Linked DNA regions of Danio rerio. The protein of the gene in region 1 interacts with the protein of each later gene in a pairwise test. Links are inferred from orthologs where the notes say so. Each region holds a gene or a part of one and is shown on either strand. Other genes may lie near its edges.

Evidence for each region.
Region 2: the proteins of mcm3ap (region 1) and mcm3l interact in a two-hybrid assay, tested with the Homo sapiens proteins (2 studies listed by BioGRID). The link is inferred for Danio rerio from reciprocal best matches to the Homo sapiens genes MCM3AP and MCM3.

What each region holds. Positions count from the first base shown.
Region 1 is NC_133184.1:40,169,496-40,173,473, reverse strand, and holds the start of mcm3ap (germinal-center associated nuclear protein), read right to left. Parts: upstream 2,801-3,978; 5' UTR 2,771-2,800; exon of another isoform or gene 2,749-2,770; intron 2,481-2,748; 5' UTR 2,403-2,480; coding exon 1,058-2,402; intron 1-1,057. Other genes in the region: cyp27a1.4 (cytochrome P450 27A1.4), read right to left, coding at 3,492-3,620, 3,703-3,903.
Region 2 is NC_133195.1:6,678,713-6,687,677, reverse strand, and holds part of mcm3l (MCM3 minichromosome maintenance deficient 3 (S. cerevisiae), like), read left to right. Parts: coding exon 1-87; intron 88-1,909; coding exon 1,910-2,118; intron 2,119-3,156; coding exon 3,157-3,287; intron 3,288-4,254; coding exon 4,255-4,493; intron 4,494-4,563; coding exon 4,564-4,672; intron 4,673-5,229; coding exon 5,230-5,383; intron 5,384-5,793; coding exon 5,794-5,925; intron 5,926-7,385; coding exon 7,386-7,594; intron 7,595-7,699; coding exon 7,700-7,874; intron 7,875-8,965. UniProt on the Homo sapiens protein: Acts as a component of the MCM2-7 complex (MCM complex) which is the replicative helicase essential for 'once per cell cycle' DNA replication initiation and elongation in eukaryotic cells.

The DNA.
Region 1 (3,978 bases):
CTAATTTTAGAGTGATTTCTGAAGGATCATGCGTCTCTGAAGACTGGAGTAATGAAGCTGAAAAATCATCTTTAAAATCACTGGAATAAATGTTTAAATTAAATGATAAACTACTTTTGAACATTTATTTTATAGTGCAATAACATTTCACAATTTTACAATTTGTACTGTATTTTTGATTAAATAAATGCAGCGTTGGTAAGTAGGAGAAGCCTATTTTAAAACGTGTAAAATCCTACTGACCCCAAACTTTTGACCGGTACTGTACATTTATTAACATTTTTTTTTAAATATTTACAGTTCACAGACGTTATTTTTGATTATCTTTGGGAAATTAAGTTTCATCAAAATTGTAATTGTATTTAAAGATTAAAGAAAAGTTATGCTGAATAAAAAGTGTATGCTGTTATGTTTGGCTTTTGACACATTGTTTATAATATGCGGCTAAGAAATAGCTATTTGCTTTTTTTTTTTGGTGGGGTCAGTAGAAATTTGACACAGCCAATAGAACAAATCCTTAGCGTTGAACCCTGGTCTACATTCTAAAAATTTAAATTTCAGCCATTTGTCTTAAACATATAGTGATATTTGTTTACATAATAAAAAAGTAACCCTCTGCCCTGTATTAATATTTCAAAAATATTTAAATATTATTATTTATTATGCCCTGTGTAACCCAAATGCTGTGATTTGTAAACTTTTCACAAAAAAACATTCACTTTAAAGAACATAAAATTCCTCTTATTCAAAAGACCTCAACAAGGTAACAAAATGACTTTTTAAATATTCCATGGCATATCAGTAGCTTTATATATGATATTTATATTGGTCTATACCAGTTGAAATTGATACTATTCAGTTGTGTCTTTTTAATCTTCTTAACATTAAGATTATCTTTGCCATCTTAAAAAATGCTTTTAAAATAAACTACTAATTTTTATTAAACTCTTGTTATATGCAATCTGCTGTTAAACATAACAAATTTCCTTGTAGCATTTAATTAATTTTTTTTAACATCTGAATTTTAATATTGTCAAAGTCACAAGAAAAGACTTACAGACATCTTCTGCTTTTTTCGAAACTAAGGAAGCCTGAGGCCTCAGAAGTGCAGTGGCCAGATCACTAGATGGACCAGGCGGATCTGGTCTTTCAGGAAGATTATCTTCTCTCTTGACTGGGCTCACTTTGGATTTTAGGACGTCAGACATTGCAACACGGAAGAGCCCTCCAGCCATGACACGGCTTCTCAGAAGTGGGCGTTTGGCAGGTTGTCTTGGCCCGTCTGCTCCAGTTTCACTGGGATCACTTTTAGCTGCATCTGCAGGCTCCTCTTTCCGTTTCATACCAAAACTCACAAAAGCTGTTTCCCCTCCACTGCTCTGCCCATCACCCGTTTTATCTTCGGTTCTTACAGTTTTTGGGACCCCAAAAGCAAAGGGTCCAATCCCAGTACCACCAAACGCAGGCACTTTGGTGTCTGACTGAGGTTGAAGGCTTTGGGGTGTGAAGCTGAAGGTGGAGGGAGTCGTGGGCTGAGAAGCAGATGTACTGCTGCTGGACGGGTTGGCAGGTTGAGAGAAGGTGAACTGAATGCTACTGCCGCCACCACCAACTGTCTCCTTTTGTGAAAAATTAGAATTAGAGAGAGAAACAGAAGGAGCTGCAGCCGGCTGAGAGAAGCTGAAGCCCAGAGCGCTTGGTTTTACGCATGAAAACAGTGAACCACCAGAGGAATTATCCACCACCTTAGAGGATCCAGCAGTTTCTGAAGCAGAAGACATATTCGTGCTTGTTGGTTCCGGACTGACACTAAAAATAGGCTTGAAGACTGCTTCATTTGGTGGTTTGAAAGAAAACTGATTCCCACCTGTGGGATTCTCAGCCCTGCCGCTTATTGAGGAGATGGATGTTGCTGCTGGTACAGGAAGACCAGAGAGCTGACCAAAACTAGGCTGACTAGTAACAGTGCTACTGAAGCTGGTTGAGGAGGACTGCGAGACATAGGAGGGAAGGCTGAATGCAGACGGCTGACCGAAAGCTGAGTTCTGAGTCTGTCCCGTAGCTTGAGAGTATGAAGGTGGTGGTGGTTGTCCAAATCCAAGTGTGCCCCCCTGACCTAAACTTGGCTGCCCAAAGGCAGGGTGTGTTCCCAAAAAGGAAAATGATGATGTTTGCCCCGATCCTTGAGATAACCCGCCGGTTTGGCCAAAAGTGGGTGTGAAGACTGGAGGCTGTGGTGTTGGCTGAACAAAAGCTGGCTGACTAAAAGCAGAAGGTTGGCCAAAACTAACACCCTGTGTTGGTTTCTGCTGGGCAAAAGTCTGAAATAGGTTTCCAGACTGATTAGTGTTCGGTGCCTGAAAGGCAGCTTGTGGTCTGCCAAAGATGTTTGAAGGATTCATAATGGATGAGGCAAGAAAAACAATCGTTAAGATTTAACGTTACTGATCTGATCGTGAGCTAGTCATTACCAACGAATCCTGCAAAACAAAGACAGAAAAGTTACCAATGTTTTACCATTTTATCTATTAGAAGTCACATGACAGAAGTTATTAAATGTAAAGTTAAAAGCTCAAGTGGGACATCGTTAAAAACAAATGGCGATCTGAGAGCTGAATGCCGATTACTTGTTTAACTCCAAAACGAACTACCTAAAAACCTATAATATGTGTATGTGTTTCAAGTCTATATTTTGTACGCAAAAGTCAAGCACATTTCAAATTAAAAAGGAGTAAAAACTGTAAATACTTTAGCGACGTCCTTTTCTTACTCGGACCGGATGTTTATTTCTCTTCTTCGTGAACTGGCGCGTCGATTCAACGAGAGTCTCTGGCGACTGCGGCGTGTACAGGCAGGCAGGAGCATGACAACATTAGCGCATTTCTCCATTTCATTATAAAAGGCTGAATAAAAGTCCATTTCGCCTTGTGGAAATATTTTTAACGCATTCAACTTGCTAAATATTTTAAATAAACAATATATGCAAACACAAAAAACATATTGTACTTTTTTCTGGAAGATACATGGCATGCTTAATGTATTCCACAATAAAAATAAGACAAGCTGTGGACAATGAATTTGTGTTAATGCAAGTCTTCAAAAAAAAAAACTTAATTTGTTTGTCTGATAATTCATTTGCAAAGTACAGTTAATACAAAATGAGCAGATTGTCAAGAAATGCAAGAAATGAAAGTTTTGCAGTGAAATGAACAAATATCCACAATTCCTGTTTCTCCAATAATGAACAAGAACACAGACATTTTGAATTCATTATAAAGTTTAATTGATTTTTACATCTATAAAATATTTTCATGGCTATTATCAGAATGAAATAAATATTATTGAGTGACAAAGTATATTCTTCATACTCTTGTACAGGGTCTTTAACAAAGAACAGAAGAATCATATTCAGTTAAAGCCGTTGACAAATTCACATGAATCACTTCAGCTGATAATTCCTTATGTACATATGCAGCTCATGTCTAGTTGAGCTATGTTTCAGTCTTCTGTCTCTCCACAAAGTGCAGATTGACCTTTTTGTTGGGAACAAGCACTGAACGAAAGTTTGCCTTAACTTCACCTACAGTCGGGTCTGGTCGCATTTCAAACAACTTGATTAGCTGCAATTAAAAACACAATCACAAACAGCACAATAATAATGCAATGTCACTGTCTGACACAGAACTGAAAAATAAATCTCACCCTTGCCAAAGCCAGATGCATTTCCAGTTCAGCAATGCGACGACCGACACAGGCTCTGACTCCAAATCCAAATGGGATTGACCCAAACGGGTTTGGTCTGGTTCTGCCGTCTCGCAGCCAGCGCTCAGGTTTGAACTTCTGTGGTTCTGGGAAGACTTTTTCATCGTGGCTGATTGCATAGTGGAACAGATTAAATGTGGTCTATTTCAACAAACGAAAAAGAAAAAAAATAATTGTATTTAGTGATGTTGATTACAAAATGGACAACATTTTGTT
Region 2 (8,965 bases), on another chromosome or scaffold:
GGTCAGGAGTATGGTGTCTGATGGACAGTGTCGTCTCATTGTCAACATTAATGATCTGAGAAGAAAAAGTGAAAAAAGAGCTAAAGAGTAAGTGATTAATTTGATTAAAAGTTGTCTATTTTGTTTCATATTTTGCTTTTTTGACAATTTTAGATTTTTTCTTTAACGTTGTTTGCTCTTCGGGATTTGGTCAGTAACAAACATGTGGCCAGATACATGTGAAACTCTGGTGTAAACAGCATGGTTGATGTACTATATGTTGCTCTGCTGTCTAAAATATACAAAAAAAAAAAAAAAAAACATGGAAGCTGCTAAATCACTTACTAAAGCAGAATATGGTGTAGCATTTTGATTTAACATGTGGTAAAGGATACATTTGACCAGATTAGCCTAATGTTACACTCGCTTGAGCATAAATTATAAGAACAAACATGAACGTTATCAAGATTCTTGCCATGGAAATCGTGAATTAGTTTGGTCAACCACAAACACTTTTTGTTCTTCAGACAGCTTTTTTTTCTCTCTTCTGCTTGACTTTACATGGCTTTCAGTATTCTAATACAATCTAATAGCAAAGCCCAAAACAATTGATCATTTTCAGCAGTAGTAAGCAAATAATATGATTCTCAGTCAGTTCAGTCACATTGTTTACGTTCTGTGTTTCCAATATGGCTGACTGATGATGTGTGATGAAAATTCTCTGTAGAGGAGAGTGGGGACAGTTGCAACACTTTTTGCAATTCTTTCAGTTTCTCGAAGACAATTTTATTTTTTTTTTGTGGAACCCCAAAATTTTAAAACAATAAACTCACTTCTGTTGGACAGGCACCCATATTGCTATAATATGTGTAGATATGTTAATAAATTCTTCATTTATTACTTAAAGAAAGGGACAATTGCAACATTCATTCAAATTATAATTTAAAAAAAATCTAAAACCTCGAGTTGGATTTTATTTTTTGGTAAACCCACTAAATGAAAATTGGTTAAATTATTAAATGTGTTGGCCATATAAATACAAAACCTTAAAAAAAAAAAAAAAAAAAAACGAGCAACATCCAATTATAAGGCCTAAAAAAACTGAACTTTTTTTTTTTTTTTTTTTTTTACTGAAAGATTGAACCTTTACCAAACTACTACTAAGAATGTTGACATGAATTAATTAATCAAATATTTTTTTCAAATTATATTAAAACTGTGATCAATAAAATTGTACATTTGTTAATATGGCAAGCTTTCAAATGAATTTTATAACAATTGGGGACAGTTACAGAAGCATGTTCAGCAACTCTGTCAACCTTGATTAAACATTCCATGCTAGAGAGATACAATAGCTTGTTACAAACGCTTGATAGCTATACCTATTTAAAGCTATGAAAACAGTGATTTAAATTATACAAATGAATAATGTTTCACAAAAACAGATTGGGCTGTATGAGAAATTTTCTGATCATTACAAAAAACTATTTTTTTTTTTTTTTTTTTTTTTTAAATACCTAAAATGAGTTTTAGACTGAAGAAATGGTCACATATGGCTGATTTCTCTTGGATGGAAGAAGGATCCAACTGACAATATGTAGTATGAATATCATCCCTCCATAGCTCATTCCTTAATGGAGAAATAAGTCTTGTTGTAACTGCCCCATGTTGCCCCCATTCTCCCATACACTGTAAAAAATGCTGGATTTCACACAATCAATTTGTGTTAAAACATCTCGAAGAAAATAAGTTAACCTATTAGTTTTTACAAATGGATATTGATTTAACATAAAACTGTTAGGTTTCCCCCAAAAAAGCTTGAATTGTGTTGTTTCAGCTTATTTTAAATAAGTAGTGGAAGCGGCAAATGTAATTTTGAGTGTATATCCTTGAATCTTTATTGATCTGATTAAGTGTCTCTTTTTAATAGATTACTGAAGAATGCTTTCGCTGAGCTGGTGGCGTTTCAGAAAGCCCTGAAGGATCTCGTGGCTTCAATAGATGCCACTTATGCTAAGCAGTTTGAGGAGTTTCATGTTGGTTTCGAGGGCAGTTTTGGGAACAAACATGTGTCTCCTCGTACTCTGAGTGCTCGCTTTCTGGGAAACCTTGTGTGTGTGGAAGGCATCGTGACCAAGTGTGAGTAAGATTTACTTTACTTATTACTTATTAAAGCAATTGTTTCGTCCAAAACAGAAAATGTTGTTCTCTTTTACTCATCCTTCACTTGTTCCAAACTTGATTGACCATCTGATTTTAGATGAACACAAAAAAACCCATCTAAATTGTACAACTTTTATCAAAAGGAAACCTTAATAAACTGTTTTAGATTTTTATCTTATATATTATCATTATTGTTATTTATTTATTTTACCGTGGACATTATTTATTGCTGTTGATTACTTTTAATTGTTAGAATATATTTATAATTATAAAAAAATTGGTATTTATAAAATGTGATAAACTTGATGTATTGTATTTTTGCCATGACATAGCCATAGAAGCTGAAATGGCAATAAAATTAAATCTCTCTCTCTCTCTCTCTCTCTCTCTCTCTCTCTCTCTCTCTCTCTCTCTCTCTCTCAACACAAAAGAAGATATTTCTTAGCTGTGACATCCTTATATTTATTTTTCCTAGTATGGAAGTCAATGGTTACATGCTTGCAGCTTCTTTTTTTAAATATTGTTTTGAACACAAAAGATGATAACAAACTCGTACATTGAAAAAGGTGTTGCATGCAGAACTGTTGCAAACAATTTGTTTGTGTTGATTTTAAACACATAAATTAAATTGAATCATGTTAAACTTAATTTGTTTGTTTAAATTCAACACAATTAAATTGTTTACGACCACTTAACGTAAGAAAATTTAGTAAATCCAAGGAATCATCTTTGAATTTTTTTTTTCAGTGTAGGTTTGGAAGCATGTGAGGGTGAGAAATTGAGTAAATACATTTTTTGGGTGAAACATTCCTGTAAGCGCTCATTTAACTGCCTATACTTGATGTTTGTCATTTCACATAGATAAAGTAATGTTCAGAATGTTACACGCTGATTTCTAAATTGTTTATCAGAGCTTTGAATATGCACGTTGCATATTATTTCTATATCGGATATAAATGTGTACAAGTGCATGTTTATTCCACTTGGTTGTCTTCATTGTCTTTCCATCTGTAGGTTCTTTGGTGAGGCCTAAGATTATGCGCAGTGTCCACTATTGTCCAGCTACCAAGAAAACCTTGGAACGAAAGTATACAGATCTGACATCATTGGATGCTTTTCCTTCTAGTGCCATCTATCCGACCAAAGTGAGTTACTGTAAATGGCGTTAAATGTTAGAGCAAACGACTCCCATGCGAATGGTCGCCTGTTCGATACCAGCTTGGAGCGGGTTGGGTGGTTTAAGACCAGCGGGGTTACATATAGTAGTATGTTTTTTTTTTTTTTGTTATGTCTGTCTGTCTTTCTCTCTGTCAGTTGAGAATATGTTTAATGGTTACATTTGATAATTAAATGTAATATTTACAGGCACAAATATTAACATCTTTATTTGTTCTTTGTTTACATATTTAAATGAATAAACTTCAAATTTTAAGAGTTTAAACCATAAATTTGATATTTAAATAATTTATTTAAAATTGTTTAAAGTTAATACATGCATACACTTGTTTAGTGAATATTTAAAATGATAATTTATTAAGCTTGTATTATGATGCCTATTTCAAGACACTTACTGAAATGTTTAAAGTTTTTACATTTAAGTTCATTTAAATTTGTTGAATACATAATGAAATAATTTAAATTAAGTTTAATAAAAGGAATATTTCAGTAAATAATAATATATTAATTATTAATTTTTCCATATACTTATGAAGAAACATAATGCATTTTGTAAATATTTACCTATATTTAAATTCAGTTCAAGTCAATTTCATTCAAAGCTAATTTTTTTTATTTAAATGTGAATAATAAATGTAATTACTAACTCCATTTTTTAAATAAGTAGATTGTTTTGTTGTTGTTTTTTTGTTTTATAGTCAAATAGTTTACATTTTAAATATGTGTTAAATATTTAGTTAAATTTTAATTTAATTATTTGTATCAAATAATCAAACGCCTCTAGTGGACTTTAAAAAACTTTTTTTTTTTTTTTTAACTATTTTGTCTACATTCATGCACATCACATTAGCATCTGTTTTTCTTGTTACCTCAAACATGGATGATGGTCTCTCTGTACATCCTGTCAATGTTTTTACTGTACTTTACTGTACATAGGATGAAGAAAACAATCCTCTGGAGACAGAGTTTGGCCTTTGCTGCTATAAAGACCACCAGACACTGACCATTCAGGAGATGCCAGAGAAAGCCCCCGCTGGACAACTGCCACGCTCTGTCGACATCATTGCCAATGATGACCTCGTGGATCGGGTCAAGCCAGGTGACCGCGTGCAGATCGTAGGTGTTTACCGCTGCCTGCCCGCAAAACAGGGCGGTTTCACCTCAGGGACCTTCAGGTTTGTTTGTTCAGAGTCCTACAGTTATCAATATTGAATCCCCTCAGAATAACATCTTGACTCTCTGCAGAACAATCTTATTGGCTAACAATGTGAAGCTTATGAGTAAGGAGATCGTACCCACCTTCTCTGGTGATGATGTCGCCAAGATCAAGAAGTTTTGTAAAGCGCATTCGAAAGTAAGATGACTTTAAAAGGGTCGTGGTGTGAAAAATCTATTTTCCTAGGTTTATTAAAAATTGCTGAAAAATGAATATCGTTATAAACTTTCTTCAAGCTGTAAGAATGAATTTAGGAACACAATGGTATATGATGTCACAGTACGTTCATTTGCATACTGCCTCCAGCATACAAGCTCCACCCAATTCCGCCTAAGTAAAAGACCCGTGCCTCAAAATCAGAGCTTTTCACAAAAATTGAACATGGATTTTCTGCATATACATGTCATTTATTGTTAAAAATAGCATTATTGAAACCAAATTAACAAGTATTAAAACAACTTGACAAACAAAACAAACAAAAAAAAAACTCATGCCATGACCCCTTTTACTGATCTGTTTCATATTTTTTTTTAAACAATTGACCAACTCTACCTTTAAAAAAAAATTTCTTACTTTCTTTCTTTCTTTCTTTCTTTCTTTATTTCTTTCTTTCTTTCTTAAAAAAAGCCTTTCAATTCCTTTTAAAACTCAGTCCTGATGGGTGTCATCCTTGCTACGGTGTTTGTGCATTTCAGGATGTTTTCGAGCAGTTGAGTCGGTCTTTGGCCCCCAGCATTCATGGCCACGAGTACATAAAGAAGGCCATTCTCTGTCTGCTGCTAGGAGGCAATGAGACCAACCTGGAGAATGGGACGCGCATCAGAGGAGACATCAACATTCTGCTCATAGGTCTGCATATGGTTTAATTTTAGAGTATTTAAATCATTTAAAATATCCTTATTAGTTTTTATATGTTTGTAAATTTGTTCTGATTTCTTTATAACTGTTTACTCATTTGAAATTAATCTAATTATTGTAAGACATAGAGAAGTTATCTCTGTGGTTATTTGTATAAAAATAATGAATTTGATGTACATCTAAACTTATAGATGTATTTCTATAAAATATTGTACAGAAATTATGTATTACTGTTCAAATTTCATTTATATTTGTAAATTGACCTTTATAAATTAAACATTTATGAATAAAAATATTTAGTATTTTAGTTTTTAGCTATTTAAATATAAATTATAGATTTTATATAATTAGAAATTTTAGTAGTTGCAAAGTGCACTAGTTTCGGTTTTGTATTTTTTTAGGTGATCCTTCTGTCGCAAAGTCTCAGTTGCTGCGGTATGTTTTGTTCACGGCACCAAGAGCAATTCCCACCACTGGACGGGGCTCATCTGGGGTGGGTTTGACAGCGGCGGTCACGACTGATCAGGAGACAGGTAACACTTAATTTTTAGTTGTTGTCATGTTCATCTTATTTTTTTTCTACCCTTAATTTCCTTCTGTAAAGGTATCAAATTAATTTCTTCTTTCACCTTTTTGAGCTTTTTTGTTTTTCAGTTTTTTTTTTAAACCCTCTGATACCAGATTTTCAAATAAATGTTTCCTAATAAACCACAAATCAATGAAAAGCTTTTATTTATTTTGGCTTTCAGATTATGTATGAATCTCGATTTACAAAAATAACAGTTATGACTGGTTTTCTGGTCCAGGGACACATACTGTACATAGCCCGGCTGTTAACTAACCCTTAAGCCCAACCTGCTCTGGTTAGACTCATTTTTACAAGTCATACACTCGAAATACGAAATAAAGGTACAAGATATTATATTTATTTATTTATTTATTTATTTATTTTTGAGTTAAAATCCAATTCAATGGTCTATGCGAGGCTAAAAGGTAACAAAACTGACTAAATGAATTCAAAAATAATAAAGCTCAGCTGTTTAACTCTACACTCTCAGAAATAAAGGTACAAGAGCTGTCACTGGGAAAGTACCTTTACAAAAGATACATATTTGTACCTGAAAAGTCCATATTAGTACTTCAAAGGTACATTTTAGGTGCATTTGGGTACTGATATGTATCTTTGAGGTACCACAAAGGCTGCTTTAGGTACAAATATGTAAAGGTACTTTCCCAATGATAGCTCTTGTACCTTTATTTCTTGAGAGTGTAGAGTTAAACAGCTGAGCTTTATTATTTTTTTAATTCATTCAGTCAGTCTGGATATATATATATATATATATATATATATATATATATATATATATATATATATATATATATATATATATATATATATATATATATATATATATATATATATATATATATATATATATATATATATATATATATATATATATATATATATAAAGAATCGACTTGCGTGTTGTAAAACCAACAGAAAATAAGAAGTTGCTATTTTCTAGGTCAATGTGGCTAAAAACTATACTCTCAATCCAGCATAATAATCAAGGAACTTTGATTCAATACCATGCCTGAAGCAAACACAATATTACATAGTGCTTGAAAATAGTCCACAGCTAACTAGGTAACAGCCCTGCATAATATTATTGTAAGTGCAGCAGCCACAATACACAATGTAACTCAAGAATAGAATAAGTAGAGTCAAGTGTATAATTGGAAAATTATCAAAACACTTTTTTTTATTATTTGAGTGAGATTCTAATGGTCTAATCTGATTCAATGATCTATGCTAAGCTAAAAATGCTCCTGCCAGACCTGGAGATCCGCTGAATGGATTTTTAAAAATTTTTTACAGGAGTTGTAAAATGAGCCTATTTCCAAAAAAGTGCAGTGTTTCTTTTTTAATTTAGCATGATGCAAGGAAGCTGAGAATGAATTTGTGCCTGTTCTCCTCTGGCTGTTGCAGGTGAGCGCCGTCTGGAGGCAGGAGCTATGGTGCTTGCTGACAGAGGTGTGGTTTGCATTGATGAGTTTGATAAGATGTCAGACATGGACCGAACCGCCATCCATGAAGTGATGGAGCAGGGCAGGGTCACCATTTCCAAAGCTGGGATTCAGGCAAGGCTGAACGCTCGCTGCAGTGTGTTAGCTGCTGCTAATCCAGTGTACGGAAGGGTAAATATTGATTGGTGGCTTGACTGGTATAAGTACTTTCTATTAAGAATTGAGAATTTAATATTCTGTTAATTCTAATGTGTTCAATTGGGTTAATTTATCAAGTATGACCAGTATAAGACCCCCATGGAGAACATCGGGCTCCAGGATTCCTTGCTTTCCAGATTTGATCTGCTCTTCATAGTTCTGGATCAGATGGATCCTGACAGTGATAAGGAGATCTCTGAGCATGTGTTGCGTATGCATCGCTACAGAGCACCGGGAGAAGCAGAGGGAACAGGTGAGACTGACCTCTGCTGGACAAAACACAACCACCTCTAGAGATGAGTGGAGATAAGTGCTAGAAGCTTGTTGTTGTTTGGCATAAGTTCAATTGCTTGTAAAGAACAATTATGGTGGAATTACAAGCTGATAACTTTGATAGGTTTTTTTTCTCTCTCAGAATTGACAATTTCAAGTTTACATTTTAAGTTGTTTTTTTTTTTTTTTGCATTTCTGAATTTTCTTTTTTTCTTGTAAGCTATTACTTTGTAATCGAGTTTGTAACTTGCAATTTTGTGCTAACATTTTATAAATATGGAATTTTCCTTTTTTTTTTTTGACTCCAGTTGAGTATACACCCCCCACCCCTTTAGAATTGCAAGTTACATTTATCACCATTTTAATTTTATTTGGTTTTTACAGTTCTGAGAAGAGAAGTCGTAATTATGGGGTGGAAAAACACTAATCAAAGGATTTTTTTTTTTACTACTTTATTCAAATGTAGCGTTCACCAGTATAGAATAAATGTAAAAACACAACCTTTTTATTTATTTTTATATATATATATATATATATATATATATATATATATATATATATATATATATATATATATATATATATATATATATTTATTTATTTATTTATTTATTTATTTATTTATTTATTTATTTATTTATTTATTTATTTATTTATTTATTTATTTGCTTCATTTTTGTGGTACAGTAAAAGTGATCTACTACTACCATTGAACAGTTTGGCATACGATTTTAAATTTTTTATTATTTAAAAAAGAAATAATTACTTCTATTCATAAAGAATGCATTCATTGTTTAAAACTATTGTTAAATATGAATATTTCAAATATGTAGTGATCTTTTGGACCTTCCATTCTTCAAAAAATCTTGCAAAAAATGTCAGTTTCCACAAAAAATTTCAAGTAGGAATAGTAGTTTTCTACATTCAGAACTGAAAATTAATTCAACTTGACAATTAAGAAGGACAAAAGTGTGTATTACAACTGGTTTGTGATATTTAAGACCGGAGAAAGTATGTTACAAATTCAGCTTTGGAATCACAAAATGAAATGTTGTTTTAAATAGTATTGTG